2 linked regions of the Ovis aries genome follow. The protein of the gene in region 2 binds, or shares a complex with, the protein of the main gene of each other region. Links are inferred from orthologs where the notes say so. Each region holds a gene or a part of one and is shown on either strand. Other genes may lie near its edges.

Region 1 (7,694 bases), on a different chromosome or scaffold from region 2:
AAGGTTTTTTTTAAGAAAAACTTGTAGTTTATAATAGTTCATTGGTTCAATTAGGAGCGAAAAAGAAGGGAGTTTTGTAATGCAATTGTCCAGCAAAGGAAAACGCTTGAAATTGGGGGATTATGTGCACAGACCACCTGTAGGGCATTCAGAACCCTTTTCTATAAAGCTTCAACTCATGCCTAGCTGCCTGCAGGCTGGCTAACAATGCCGGGAAAAGCTGTTTAAAAGGCTGCGGGCACTTGTGCCTCTGGTCTTCACTAACTGTTACAAGTCTTCCTCTCCCTGGCTCTCTCTCCTTTTTAAAGTAAAAGTCCCACATCCCTTTCATGGAAGAACTTTAAGGCTCCGCGGTGGCCAATTGGTCTGCACGAAGAGGAGCCGGCCGCAGGGAAAGAAACTTCAGACTATACAGCACATTTGGAGAGGAGAAAAGATCAAAGTTTTTCCAACTCAAAGGACCAAGTTCCCTACAGATTAACCCTATTCATTTGGCTCCTCTTAAAGGAATGATGTGCTGAGCCACTGGGCAGACAGGTAAAAAGTTCAACAATTGCCAAAGCATTCTTCTGCTAATTCAACAGCCTTCTGCTCAAATAAATTAGCTTAGTCTTGACAGAGGAACAATAGCTTTTTTCTCTAGGAAAAGCAGCACATTTGATATACACAAGCCTGGAAGGTTATTAAGATGTTAACCCGTTAGTTTAATCCATTAAAGAGCGCCTGTTCCACCACCGGATTGTCGAGTGACTTACACTGTACAGTGTGATTGATGGCTGAAAACATTAACCTCTACCCTTCAGCAGTGTGTTAGGTCCTGGAGGAGCAGGTGCTTTCAAAATCACGGACGACGCGAGAAATGAGTGTGGGGTTTGAAGCCTTTAGTGATATTATACAAGATAAATAACAAGGCCAGAGTGGAATTGCGCCTTGCAAAAGTTCCATTTACATCGACTAAGGTGAGTGGTATCCATGGATCAGAAAAGAGCTATCATTAAAAATACCATCTTTTCGGAAAGGTGCAAAAACCTCCATTTTGATTTCAGTTTAACAGTTATATTTACTTTGCTGACAACTTAGGAACTCGAGTTTAACAGGTCATTTTTCTTCATGCCTAAGGTCAGTGTACATAATGAGAAACCAGAAAACGTCCCTGTTTCGGAGGGGCCCTCCACAAGCACGTTCAAGGTAACAGTTTAGAAGAGGCAGGGGGAGAGGGCGACGGTTAAATCATTTATCAAAAGTCATTTTATTGACAAAATAGAATACTTATATTTGTTCTTACAGGGGTGGCCTCTAAACTTTTTACAGAAAATGTACAGACTGTATATCTTTGGGTATGTACATATTTTACACATTTTTACAATTTAACAAATAATTATATTTATAAATACATCCTCTAATGTAAGAAACCCGTATTTACTTGGGGTGTATAATTAAGACATTTCTTGTTTGTTTACTTAAGGCATTTGCCTGGTCATTAAGAATACCCAAACCGTGCAATCCCGTTAGGTCGCGCTCATCCCGCCTCTAGGACGTGTTAGGAGTTAAGAGTTTACGTAGCAGAATCGAGGGAGAAAACTTAGGTCCCTCAGGTGAAATCTGTAGGTCTGGCTTCAAGCTCAGCAAATGGCAACCAGCGAGGGCTCCAACCCTTGGGTCTCAGAAACGCAGCCGCGGGGCTCACCCTCCTCTGCCCTGCCAACAGAAATGAACGCCTGGCGGGAGAAACTCCTCGCCCGTCGGTAGAGGAAAGGGGGGTGGGGTCTGGGAGCCTTCAATGCCAGGTACTTTGTTCTAAGTGAGTCCCAGCTAATGGATACCATTAAGAGTTCATTATGATGCTAATAGCAATCAACACGGTGAAGGGGTGGAAACCTTTGCTTTCGAGTGTCCTCCTCCCAGCCCCCCACCCCCCGCAGCACTCTGTCCCCTCGCCCCCTCCCTACACCTCGCGGGCGCACCCTCCCCTCCGCTCAGACCTGGGACAATGGCATCTGCTTTGGATAAGACACCGAGCTGGCCGTGCCAGATCGCCACGTCAGGCCGGTGCTGACGTCGCTGTAGAGGGAGCCCGCCCCGCCGGCTCCCGGTCCCCCGCCCCCGCCAGCCCCCGGACCCCCGCCCCCCGGGCCGCCGCCCGCCGCACCCGCGCCCGCCGCGCCCGCGCCCTTGCTGGCCCAGCAGCAGCGGGTGCACAGCGCGCGCCACGACTCGAGCGTCTTGCCGGACCAGACCCACACGCCCGAGGTGATGCCCACTACCAGGCACATGAAGTACTTGAGCATGAAGACCGCGTAGTCGGGCCGGCGCGCCTGGTCGGGCTGTAGATCCCGCAGGCACGGGCAGTTGTGCGTGGCCTCCCAGCGCGGGCGGTTGTGCTGCTCGTAGAAGAGGCAGGCGACCACAACGGCGGCGGGCACGGTGTAGAGCACGGTGAAGAGGCCCAGGCGGATCATGAGCTTCTCCAGCTTGTGCGTCTTGGTGGGGCCACCCTGCTGCTTGATGACCGAGCGGATGCGGAAGAGCGACACGAAGCCGGCCAGCAGGAACATGGTGCCGATGAAGAGGTAGATGACCAGCGGCGCCAGCACGAAGCCGCGCAAGTTGTCCAGGCTCTGATTGCCTACGTAGCAGATGCCTGCCACCGGGTCGCCGTCCACCGAGCTGAGCGCCAGCACGGCGATAGACTTGACGCTGGGCACGAGCCACGCGGCCAGGTGGAAGTACTGCGAGTAGCCGGCGATGGCCTCATTGCCCCATTTCATGCCCGCCGCCAGGAACCACGTGAGCGACAGGATCACCCACCAGATGGAGCTGGCCATGCCGAAGAAGTAGACGAGCAGGAAGACCACGGTGCACAGCGCCGGGCCAGTGGTCTCGTAGCGCACGTGCTGCTCCACGGCGCCCAGCTCCTCATACTCGCCGCGCCCACCCGGGCCCCCGGCGCCGGCTCCCGCCGCACCCGCGCCTGCCGCCGCGCCCCCCGCGCCCCCGGCCCCGCCAGCAGTCCCAGCGCCGCCGCTGCACGCCACCTTCTCGTGGCCCGCCACCAGGCGCACCAGGTAGCCGACAGACACGAAAAGGTAGCAGGCCGAGAGGAATATGATGGGCCGCTCCGGGTACTTGAAGCGCTCCATGTCGATGAGGAAGGTGGAGACGGTGGCGAAGGTGGACACGAAGCATAGTACAGACCACAGGCCTATCCAGAAGACGGTGAAGGCGCGCTCGTCCTGGCTGAAGAACGGGTTGTGGCAAGGCAACGCGCAGTTGGCGATCTGGCCCGTCTTGACGCGGTTGTAGAGAGGGTGCCGCTCGCTGGACACGCTCACCATGGGCGCGCGGCACTGGCATCCCGGCTCGCAGGGCGCCGCGCCGCCGCCAGGGGGCCGCGCCTTCCCGCCGCCGCCACCGCCGCCACCGCCGCCGCCGCGCGCAGGGGGCGCAGCCGCGTCCCCGCCGCCGCCCCTGCCGCGGGACGGGGGCCGGGCCCCGGGTGGGCGGCCGTGGCCGCTGCCGGAGGGCGGCTGCTCACCGGGGGGCGGCGGCGGGGGGCGGCGCGGCGGGCTGGGCGCGGCCGTGGTGAGGTCGGTGCGGTTGTAGTCCATGCACAGCGTGTCGGGGTTGCCCTGCTCGGGCAGCCGGTCGCAGCGCATGCGGTCAGGCCAGGCGAAGCCGTACTGGCGCATGAGGGGCGCGCAGCCGGCCTTGGCGCGCTCGCACACCGAGCGGCAGGGAGGCAGGGGCTTCTTGTAGTCCTCTAGGCAGATGGGCGTGTACATGCTGCACAGGAAGAACTTGAGGTCGGGCGAGCACTGGATCTCCACCAGCGGCCAGAACTGGTGCACCTCCAGGCCCGCCTCGTCCTGCGTGTCGTGGTTGAACTGGTTGGGCATATAGGTGTAGTTGTAGCCGATGCCCTTGCACAGCGGCACGGTGATCTCCTGGCACGCCAGTTCCTTGGCTGAGGCGGCCGCCGCACCGCTCGAGCGCTGCAGCAGCGCCAGGGCGGCCAGCAAAGAGGTCACTTCCAACAGGTAACCCCACTCCATGCTGCGCGCCTCGGCCCCTCGCCTTCGCCCTCCGGGCGGCGCGCGGAGGGGCGCCAGGGGCTCCTGCGAGAGCGCCGGGCTCTCTCCTGCCTCTCTCGGGAGGGGTTCTGCCAATAGCCTAGTCCCTTATCGGGATGCTTCCTCTCGGCGCTGCGGGAGACGAGGGTGGCCGCCGAAGGGCACCGTGGTCCCAGCGTCTGCCCCGCTCACTCCCGCCGGGCTCAGCCCTCGCGGGACAGAGCGGCCAGCCCCCAGCTCATCTCTCCCTCCCTCGGTCTCTTTCTCCGCGCGCGCCGGTGACTCTGCCGGGCACTGAGGGCGGAGGCGCAGCAAGTTTCTTCTCGGGCCGCGGTGCGCAGTCAAGATGGCTGGGCCAGGCCGCTCAGAGCCGGGTCAGCCCCTGCAGCCCCCTTTCGGCGTCCCGGGGCTCATGCTCGCCCCCAGGGCCGCGCGGCTGCTGCCGGGGTTAGAGGCCCGCCTCCACCGAGGCCACGGCCCTCAGTCCCCGGCGTCCGTCCGTCGGTCAGCAGCCGGGATGACGGGCCCCGCCTCCGGTGGAAGTCGCGCTCCTGCCGGCACTGGGGCAAGGTGTCGGTGGTCCCCTTCTCGCTGAACTCACGGAGGCAAATCCAGGCCGGAAGGCGGAGCAGACACCTGAGCGGCGCGCCCGCGCCCCGCCACCGCCGCCGCCGCCGCCGCCGCCGCCGCCGCCGCCGCCACCGCCACCTCCTCGGCGGGAGCAGTGTCCCTCGCCAACTTCCCGCTCCGGCCCCGCTACGCCCAGGCCGGCTCATGAATATTTATACGGCGCGGACTCGGTCTCCGCCCGCGGCCGGCGCGCCAATCCCGGGCTCGGGGCGGAGTCTGCGCGCTCCCCAGGCCCCGCCTTCCTGGGGCGGACCCGGCTGTCCCCTCGGCTGTGCGAGCTGTCTGCGGCTGGAGTTTGGATAACCTTGGGGTTGACCGCAGAGACGGGTTTTGCCACGATCGTCCCCGAGGCGCCCTGTGGGGCTGAGGTCGGGGTTCCTTCACCCCGAGTCTGCGCTTGGGAACTGAGGGATTCTTTATACAGCGCGCTTTCAGAGGCCAGTTTCGAACTAGTCAAGCCCCTGCTTCCTACGCTCCCCGAATGTGGGCAACCTGCTGGCGAGGGGACTCCGCGCCCCTCAGCCAGCCGACGCGTGCGCGGGGGCTTTGCGGGGGAACGGGGAAGCGGTGCCCTTCTTGGGATTGTCAGAACGATGGTCTTGGAAGCTTGGCGATGTGAGAGGAGTGCCATGACTGCAGTTTATTTCTAGATGATGGGGCTGGACAGGGGACAGCCGGGGAAGAGGTACCCGGGAGCGCAAGGGCGCGGGCGCGAGAGGCGTGTGCACCCGGGCGGGCGGGAAGAAAGGGGTCTCCTCTTGCCTCAGCTGAGGGACGTGAGGCAGCGTCAGTTTCTTTACCTGCAGAGTGGGGTTCAGATCTCAAAGGGGGTTCTGCTAATTAGGCTAGATAAGATATATAAAGCATCCGGACATATTTAAAGCGCTCCCTTAAGAGATATAATTCCCTTTCTTCTTTAAAAAAGAAAAATAGAAAGGGAGAAAGAAAAACTTATAGGACAGACTGGAAACTCTGTGGCTGGATTCTCCCTCTTAGCCTCGCGCTTTTGGAACGTATGTGCGTCTCTCCAAAGTTGACATGTTTTTGCCAGAGCCTCCTCCTCCCGGTGGGAGGCGGCGCCGGGCCCTGGCGCGAACGCGCGGACACGTCTCCGCGGTGTTCCCGGGGCCGAGCGGCTGGGGACGCGGCCAAGGAGCGAGGCCCCCGCCAGCTCGTAGCTACCTTAGACGGGGAGGGGCCCGAGGGGCGGGAGGCCTGGCAGGTTCATTTACGCTTGTTAGGACGTCCCAGGGGGTTGTCTTTCTCCGAGAATGGAGTGTTTATTTTTTAATTGATGTGCTGTTTCATTTAGCGCTTGTATGGAACTCACGCTGGGGCTGTAATTACTGTAATCTCGGGAACAAGCATTTCAGTTAGCCAGGAGGGTGGCAGCAGACGTCTGTCTCTCTCTCTCCTCCTTTTCCTCTCGCCTCTCCCTTCTCCCTCTCCGGCTAGAAAACTAAAGTTATTGAGGATACGGGGACGATAGGATACGGATACGAAGGAGAGGTAGAGCTAAAAGCTCGTTTGAGGCCAGGCCTTTTTTATTGGGTTGGGAGTGAGGGGAGGAGGATGCGGTGGTGGTGGTAGTTGGTAATTATCTGTTTACAAACAACTCTTGTCGTGAAACAAAAATAACTAGCAGCATCTGTGTATGGCAGGACCCTATGTCTCTTCTGTTCTCTCTAGCTTAGTTTAGCAACCGCATTCTAATTAGAAAGATAGAATCTCCCACCCCCCCCACCCCAGCCCCACCCCTAATTTTTGGCAAGTTCGGTATTTTCACCAAGAATTCTAGGCAGAGCCACTAGGCTGTAGTCAAAACCCCATTGTCTTTTTTCTTTTAAACTGGTCTGTTTAGAATCTCTTTATTATACCAAAACAAAACACTTCCTTCGCATTTTTTGTTTTAGAAAAGCTAAACTGCATAGGAATCAGAAATTCTGAGGCTTCAGAAAGATTGGCTGATTCAGCAGAAAATGATCTCGAGTTTTCAAAAATGCAAAGACTCAACTGTTACTTGGTCTTTTAAAAATGAATTTCGTTCCTTTCTCCTGATGGGAATTCCCTTTGTGGCATGTGGAACACAGAATGTCACCTCTCTCCTGCTGGAATCCTGTTCAGTGATAGCCATGCTCCAGAACATTCAGCTGCAGAGAAACAGCAGGTGACACCTGGAGATAGGATGCTAAAGCACAGTAGTAAGGCAACCCCCAGCCCGTCCCCCCGCCCCCCCAGCCCCGTCCCCCCGCCCCCCCCCCAGCCCCGTCCCCCCTCCCGCCCCGCCCCCGCCAGTTTAAGGAACAGCCTGGGCCCTGCCTGTCCCTGACCACAGATAGGAGGCGCTTGCTTCCAAAAGCAACACAGAGAGTTTCTTATGATTTTCTTCAGCAGGAAATGTCAAATAGTGGAGTTTAGAATTACACTATATAAATTTACTTGAATTGGGTAAAAACAAACTGACATTTGAAAGTTGAAGCTGCAAATAGTTGATTTTGGCTTTTAATTGGCATTAAAAAATTTTTTTTCCTTTTGAGACAAGATGAAAGCTCTGATGATGTGGAATGTGGAAATTTGGGGAAAATATATTAAGCTTGCTGGAGAAAAGCAGACAAAAAGTTCAGAGCTTTCAAAAATCATTTATCAGCTATTGAGTGTGAGATTAAACCCATTTACATAAAATCATTAAATGCTTACTTTTAATTGAGAGAATAGAAGAATAGCATTTAAATTTTACTATTAAATTAAATGGCTAGTTGGCAATCTTTAAGAGCACAAGAGGCTTAGAAAGCCAATTAGTGTATAAAAGGCAATGACGGGTCAGCAAAAAGAAACTAGGATCATTTATCAACATCCTGGCTAAATAATGATTTTTCTTTTGTATGTAAAGCAGCTGCTTTTTAAGGGAGGGGAAATAGCTTTAGTAGTGACATAAATAATGTAGGGAACTTTCTAGAGGGATTTCTGAACAGATGTCTGGTTACTGAATAGCCC
Region 2 (7,731 bases):
CCACAGCACCCCCCCCAAAAAAAAGAAGATCTGGATGTCACCCACCTTTCGGCTGCCCAAAACACTTTGCTCAGGAGGCCGCCCAAAGATCCCGGGAAGAGCGGCCCCAGGAGAAACAAACCTGACCACTGTGCCATCATCAGATCCCCCTTACCACCAAGTCAGCCGTGAAGAAAAGAGAACTCACTGTGGATGTCAGTGCCAACAAGCACCTAATTAAACAGGCTGCGAAGCTCTGTGACGCTGACGTGGCTGAGGTCAATACTCTGATCAGGCCTGATAGGGAGAAGCGGCCCTACGTTCCACTGGCTCCTGATGCTTTGGATGTTGCCGACAAACTTAGGATCATCTAAACTGAGTCCAGCTGGCTAATTCTAAATATAAAAGTTTTCACTATGTTAACAAACAAAAACAGCTTAACAAAAAGAAATGGGACTCCCCCCACACCATGCCCTTCCCATGACAGACCCTCTAAAAGGCGGCTTCCTCCTCGTAGAACCCCCAAAAAACACATGCCATCCTCCCCATTTTGCAGATAAGGAAACTGAGTCCCAGAGTTAACAAACCACTTCCCAAGCTGGAGAAAAAGCAGACAGCAGCCCATAGCAGCAGAGGGGCCCTGGGGCCCGCTCTCTGGGTCCCTGCTGTCCCCACCGGCCTCCACATCAGCAGCGCTCTGACCGCAGTGTCTCCGGGGCGCCCGCAGGGTGGACAGCCCACTGCTTCCTGCACAAAAATGTCCCGGGCCCAGCAGAGGAAGGGGCTGGATGCAGCCCCCACTCCCATCAGAGCCCCCCCATTCTGAGAGCGTGTGGCCATCCCAGAGGCCTTGTAAGCCACAGATGTCCAGCTCCTACCAGGGCTTCTGTGATATCGAAGTCTACCAGGTCCACCTCCCAGGGTCCCTCACCCCACCAGAGGCCAGCACTGGCCCTCAGTCTGTCCCCCAGCCAAGCTTCCTTCACCATGGCCTCTCCCATCTCTGAAGCTAATGTGGTCATGTCCCCAGCCCAGCTTTAAACAGCCTCCGCTGTCCAAACCCCACAGGGACAATGGGCTCCAAGCCCGTGCCTGCTGGGAGAAGCACCCACGCAAGGTCAGCCCATCAGCGGGTGGACGGATGAGCAGATGTGCCCTGTCCACGCTATGCAAGGAGCAAAGTGCTGTCCCGCGCTGCAACATGGACACCTCACGAGAGCATTCTGCTAATCGTGAAGCCAGAGGCAACAGGCAGCCCAGCCTGTGAGTCCCTGCAGATGAAGTATCCAGAGCAAGCAATGCCAGAGAGACCTGGGGTAGGGGGATGGGAAGTTTAAAGGGTGCAGGGTTTTATTCTGGGCCGACGGAAATGTTTTGCATCTTGACAGAAGGGATGCTTGTACAGCACTGCGAATGTACCATGGAATTGTCTCCTTTAAAATGATTAGTTTTATGTGACATGATTTTCACCTCAATTTAACAAAAGAGAAAAAAAAAAAAAGATCAATTCAACACCTTTCCCCTGCGTTTCCTATCTCCCTCCCCCAGCTAAAGTCTCCGGAAGCTTCCAGTGCCTTCTGGACCACATCCAGACTCTGCAGCGTGATCTGGCCTCTTTCAGCAGAGACCACCGGGTCTCTATGGACAGGGTCCTGGGACGGAGCCCACCTCCCCGAGAGCTGCACAGTCAGCTGCTGTTTGCCTCCCTGTCAACCAGACAGCCTGACAGCAAAGGCCCGGGCCTCCTCCACCATTCTACCCCATCCTATCCCCAGCGCTTCAGCAGGTACCAACAGTAACAGCATCAATAAAAGAGATGATACAAGTGCCAGGCATGTGTCAACGCGCTGACCTACCGGGAGGAAGTTCCGTTACGCCCATTTTACAGAAGAGAAGACTGAGACGCACGAAGGTGGAGTCAGCTGCCCAAGCGCCCCCCACAGTCAAGGCTCAGCCCAGTTCACCACCACAATACCCTTCACCCAGTCTGCCACAAAAAACAAGTCAGACAGTGGACGGGATGTTCAAGGTCCCACACAGGAGGAAAATCCAGACTGTGTGATAAGAGCTTCTAGACCTTCCAGGCCAGAAAGATCAAGAACCTTATTATCCAACAGGCACCACAGCTCTGCCACCAACAGTTCCTCCCCCAGCCAGGGACGTGCAGAGGGTTTCACAGGCGGTATTTTACACTCCTGAGCAGGGGGAGGAAGCAGGTGAGGACACGGGATACACAGAAGCGAAGTAAGTTGTCCAAAGTCAAATAGCTACTGAGCTTCTAGACCAGTGGCCCCAACCTCTTTGGTACCAGAAACCGATAGCATGGAAGACAATCTTTCCACAGACCTGGGGGGTGGGGGAAAGGTATGGTTTGGGGATGATTCAAATGCTTTACATTTACTGGGCATTTTATTTCCATTATTATTATTGCATCAACTCCACCTCAGATTAACAGGTATTAGATCCCGGAGGTTGGGGACCCTTGCTCTAGACCCAAGGGGTCTGACCCCCGGGGCCCCCGACCTTAGCCCTGGCAAGCACACGTGGCAGGACAGGAAGTCCTCACCTAACTACAGCCCCCACCACCACCCCGTGAGCAAATTCTGCTAAATGCCTGAGCAGTGACACAGTGCAGCTGAAATTAAACGGGTTCCAAATACAACGGCATGGCCACAGCAAATGCTGGGACGCGCGGGTGAACTGGGTAAATTCTTGGAACTGCACAGGAGGGTTACAGGCATGTGGGCCCCCGCTTTGGGAAGCAGAGGGTCCTGCCGGCAGCCTCTCCATGGACTCCCCATAGCACTTAGTTAACTCAATGCTCACCTGCAGGCCAGGCAGTGAGCATCTGCAGGCAGCACCCCACTCCCTCCCCTGGGGGTGGTCCTGGGGCCAGTGCAGTGGGGCCAAAAGGGAGAGACCCCGGGCCCTGGAGCTGGGGCCGACCACTCCCAGCTCTAGGATCACTCCAACAAAGGCATTTCCTTGGGCTCACCCCTTCATATTGCAACAGGAAGCAATCAGGAAAAATAATTAGCTACCAACTTACTAGCTCCACTCTGGACTGTGGCATAAATCTAACACAGAAATCAGGGACATGACATGTCAAGAGCAGTCAAAATAGTTTCTGCAGAAAGTTCCCTCCCTCTCCTTCCATTTTAGGACCAGATTACCACATTAGCCAGGGCTCTAAAAACCTCGTGTTGACATGCTTCCTTAATGTTAAAATAATCAACTCTATTTTTTGCCTCCTACACAACCGAGCTCCACAAATGTGATCCTTCTCCTTGGGGGCTCGAACCGCAGGACAGGCACTCCAGTCCAGCAACACCACCACCCCAAGGTCCAGGAAATCCGAAACTGCAACGCAGTGAAAAGCTACTCTGCTGGCAGAGAAACCCCACCTTTAAAACAAACATCTTCCCCCCCAACAAAAAAACCCTTTTGCCTCCGTGATCCAGGCATTTCCGGAAAGAGAAGCAGTAGTGTCGGCCTGAACTACCCAGATACTGTCATTGTTTTTTTGCTGGTATCAGATGGGGCCAAGAATGTAAACACTCCTGAGAGAGGCGAATTCAGCCTGAAACTGCCAAGGGTCTCCGGGGATCCGGTCTGGGAGGCAAGAGGACTTGAGGAATTACCCCTTCTCGCCCCCCCAAACCTCAGCGGAGGGGCCGCAGCCCCGGGAATGTGACCATAGAGCCAGGCCAGGACACCTCCCTGCAGTGTCCTCGCTGGAAATATTCAGGGAGACAGCTGTTTGCCTTAAAGAGGCCCAGACAAAGGGACCCAAGGCCCCCCACCCCCAACTGCCACCAGCAGAAGAGCAGCCCAGGGCGCAGAGGACTCCCGCTCCGGGGTCCACTGGGCCAGCCACACTCCAGAAAAACAAAACACTCACGTCGGAAGAGAATGGTTTAGGTAGCGAGAGAGGCTTGCTTCAAAAACCACATGGCAATCTCCAAATTAAAAGAACATGTGTAGCTTTTCACAAGGCGCTTCGTTTCCTGAGTCCTCCTGACCTCAACTCCACCCCTTGGGAGACACCAACAGTTGGAAAGAAAGGTCCCCAGGCTCTGATCTCCCAAAGGGGGTGTGTGTATACAGCCAAGGCCCCCACGCCGCAGGCTGGGACCCCGTCACCCCGCGCGGCGGCCCCACGCAGCCAGGCCCCCCCGGAGGTAGACACCCGCCGGGTGTCACGATTTGGGGGCCCCAGCGGCCCAGACGGGGGGTCCGAGTCGACCGGGCACACCTGGCAGGTGTGAGTCCGCTGGGAAAACGACAGCGACGCAGACGAAAGGGGCAGCGCCGCAGGCCAGGCCGCCCCGCGCGGGGTTCAGAACTTTCTCTGCGACTTAAATCAGTTCCCGGAGCTCGCAGGCCGGCCGCGCGGCCATCGGAAACAGGCTCGGGAAAAGAGTTCCCGACGCAGGGCGGCCAGGCCTGCCTCCGGGCCGAACGTCCCCGCTCCGTGCCTGCCCGCGGGGCCGGGGTCCCCGCAGTGCCCGCACGGCCTCGCCCGGCCGGCTCCGGGCGAGCGCACTTCCGAGCGCGCCTCGGGGCCCGGGCAGGTGAGAACCCGCCCGCGCCGCACCTGGCGGGGTCGGCGGCGCCCGCACGCCCTGCTCGCCGGCCCGGGACGCGCGGGACGGGGCCCGGCGTCCCCGGGAGGGGCCCGGGCGGGCGAGACAAAGGGCCCGCGCGCGGCCCCCGGGAGGCGGGCGCGGCGGGGGGCGGCGGGGCCCCGCGGCGCGCGCCCCAACTCGCCCCCAACTTGCAAAGTCGCTTCGGCGGCGGCGCGGCGCACTTGGCCGCGGGGCCAACCGAGTCGCCCGGACGCCCGGGCCATTGTCCCCCCGGCCCGCGCCCACCTACCCGCGGCGGGGGCCAGGCTGCAGCAGAGCGCGAGCAGCAGCAGCAGCGGCGGCGGCGGAGGAGCGGGAGACCGGGGCGGCGCCGCCTCCATGTTGTCCGGAGCCGGACGGGCCCGCGCCGCGCTCACTCGGGCTCCATGGCGCGGCTGCCGGGCTCCTCGCGCGGCTCCGGGCGCCTGCCGCCTCCCCCCTCGGGCGCCGCGGGCCAGGACGACGGGGGAGGAGGGAGGAGGCGCGGGAGCGGAAGCCGAGCCGCGTCTCCGCCCCCCGCCGCCGCCGCCGCCGCCGCCCTCCGCGCCCCCCGCGCCGGCCGCGCCCTCCTGCGGGCGCCCCCCGGAGCCGGCCCGCCGCGAGGCGACCGCCGCGCGCGGGGTCCCGGCGCCTCTGCCCGCGCCCCCTGCCCCTGGGGGCCGGGCGCCGGGGCTCCGCGGGGGCGCGGGGGCGGGCGCCCGGTTTGCACCCCGCGGGGCCTGGGGCCAGATCGAGCCCCGGAAACAGGTGTGTCACCTGTTAAGAGCGGCCAGGACCGAGCTCTCCCGGTGGGGAAACTGAGGCACGGGACCGGGGTGTGCGAAAGGGGTTGCCCCAGGGCACGCGCGCTCAGGCAGTTTCAGGGCTGGAAGCCAGGGGCCCCGAGCCAGGTGCGCGCGCTTTCCGGCGACCGCAGCCACCCCAGCAGGGTCCTCCTCGGGGCGGGCCCCCGACACCTGTTCTCACCGGGGAGGGGGCCCGGGAAGGCGACCGCCAGGCGGGGCCGGGACAGGGACAGAAGCAGGTGATGGCGAGAGGTGGAAACTGCAGGGGAATCGGGGTAGGTTTGAGGTTGACTTTTAAACTGAACGTATACCCTCGACATTAACTAGGGTACGGAAGACTGAGCGGTAGACACGTTGTTTTTCCAAATATGCTTGTAGGCGGCCTCTAGGATGCAGACCTCACCTTTGATCATTCAACAAGCAGGCTCTGAACCACCCTTCCCCAGCCCCCACCCCCGTCCCCTGCCCACCTGAGCATCAAGTTCGGCTACTGAACCCTTGGAGGCACAGGAAGGCCTGGCGAGGAGCAGCACAAACTCTGGAACCCATAGGCCCAAATTCAAACTCTGGTTCTGCTGCTTCCTACAAGGTGTGCCCTTGTTGAAAGTGTGTGCTTCAGTCGTGGCCTACTCTTGATGATTCCCTGGACTGTAGCCCACCAAGCTCCTCTGTCCTTGGGATTTCCCAGGCAAGAATACTGGAGTGGGTTGCCATTTCCTTGTCCACAGGATCTTCCTGCCCCATGGATCAAACCTGAGTCTCCTGCATCACAGACAGATTCTTTACCCTCTCTGAGCCATCAGGGAAGCCCAGGGGTGTGCCCTTGGGCAGGTCCAAATATAACCTCTTGGGGGGGGGTCGTTGGAATTCCTCCCCTTATAAAACAGTGAGAACACTTACCTTGCAGGTGCTGAGACAAGGATGGACAACTCACCAGAACAGCCCCGCCCATGGATACAGGCATTCTTCCTGTATTTGTGACAACTTTACAAAGCTGGTGCTCAGGCAGAATGTCTCTGTCCCCTAGGGTTTATATTCTAGGGAAGAAGACAAACAAAAACAAGAAGATAGATACATTTAAAACCAAAGCAAACAAACCAAAACACCACTAACAGACTCAGGAATGCCGTGAAGAATGAGGGTGTTGGGCTGCAATGCCTGGGAAGTAGGGCTGTCTGAGCTACCAACAGGGAGCGGCAGAAGAATCTGCCTGCCAAGGCAGGAGACGCAGCTTCAGTCTCTGGGTCGGGAAGATCCCTGGAGGAGGGCATGGCAACCCACTCCAGCATTCTTGCCTGGAGAATCCTATGGACAGAGGAGCCTCGCGGGCTCCAGTCCATGGGGTCGCACAGAGTTGGAGACGGTGAAGTGACTTAGTTCACAAGGGTCTTAACTGCTCTGTGACATGTGGGATCTTTAGTTGCACTGCGTGAACTCTTAGTTGCAGGATGGGGGAGGAGTTCCCTGACCAGAGATTGAACCCAGGCCTCCTGCCTTGGAGTGCAGATTCTTAACCACTGGACACCCAGGGAAGCCTCTGTGCTGGAGCTGTTTTTACCCCTGTTACCCACATAGCTTACTCCCTCACATCTTCAGCTCCTCAGCCAGACTCTCCCTGACCCTGCTTGGAGATTGCACACCACACCCCTTGCACTGCCCACCCTTGCCAGCACTTCCTGCTCCGTTTCTCTGCCTAATTTTTCTCCTTTTCACTGACCAACATCTGACAGACTACTGTTTCCTTATCTTTCTTCCCTCCACAAGAATACACTTTCACTTGCTTTACTCCACGTGTATCCCCAGAGCCTACACCAGGGCCTGACACAGTAGGTGCTCAATAAATGTTTGTTGAATGACTGAGTGAACTGAGAAGACCTGATTTATATTTATAGAAGGATCACTCTGGCTGCTGAGTAGGGGCAGGACTGTTAGGATGAAAGAGAAGATGCTGGGGACTGGCCAGCAGCGGGCACCACAGTTGCACCCAGGAGAGATGGCAGCTTGGATAGGTGGGGGCAGGGGGCTCACAAGGAGCTGGATTCCGGGTGCTTTAGGAAGAGCTAATGGGACTCCCCAAAGGCGCTGATTGTGGGAAGGAGGAGAAGGGGCCCCAGGGTGGCCCACCCTAGGGGCTCTGCTTATTCAGTCACTCGGTCATGTCCCACTCTCTGCAACACCGTAGACTGCCGGTGGGACTCCAGGCTTCCGTGTCCTCCACCATCTCCTGCAGTTTGCTCAAACTCATGTCCATTGAGTCGGTGATGCCATCCAACCATCTCATCCTCTGTCACCCCTTCTCCTCCTGTCTCCAGTCTTTCCCAGCATCAGAGTCCTTTCTA

What was found. The genes of interacting proteins can lie anywhere in the genome.
Region 1: LRP5 (region 2) and FZD8 share a complex: the UniProt entries of both Homo sapiens proteins name them as parts of the wnt-signaling complex. The link is inferred for Ovis aries from reciprocal best matches to the Homo sapiens genes LRP5 and FZD8.

What each region holds. Positions count from the first base shown.
Region 1 is NC_056066.1:26,150,272-26,157,965, forward strand, and holds FZD8 (frizzled-8), read right to left. Parts: upstream 4,829-7,694; 5' UTR 4,053-4,828; coding exon 1,977-4,052; 3' UTR 1,231-1,976; downstream 1-1,230. UniProt on the Homo sapiens protein: Receptor for Wnt proteins. Component of the Wnt-Fzd-LRP5-LRP6 complex that triggers beta-catenin signaling through inducing aggregation of receptor-ligand complexes into ribosome-sized signalosomes.
Region 2 is NC_056074.1:42,193,613-42,201,343, reverse strand, and holds the start of LRP5 (low-density lipoprotein receptor-related protein 5), read right to left. Parts: upstream 5,035-7,731; 5' UTR 4,949-5,034; coding exon 4,858-4,948; intron 1-4,857. UniProt on the Homo sapiens protein: Acts as a coreceptor with members of the frizzled family of seven-transmembrane spanning receptors to transduce signal by Wnt proteins.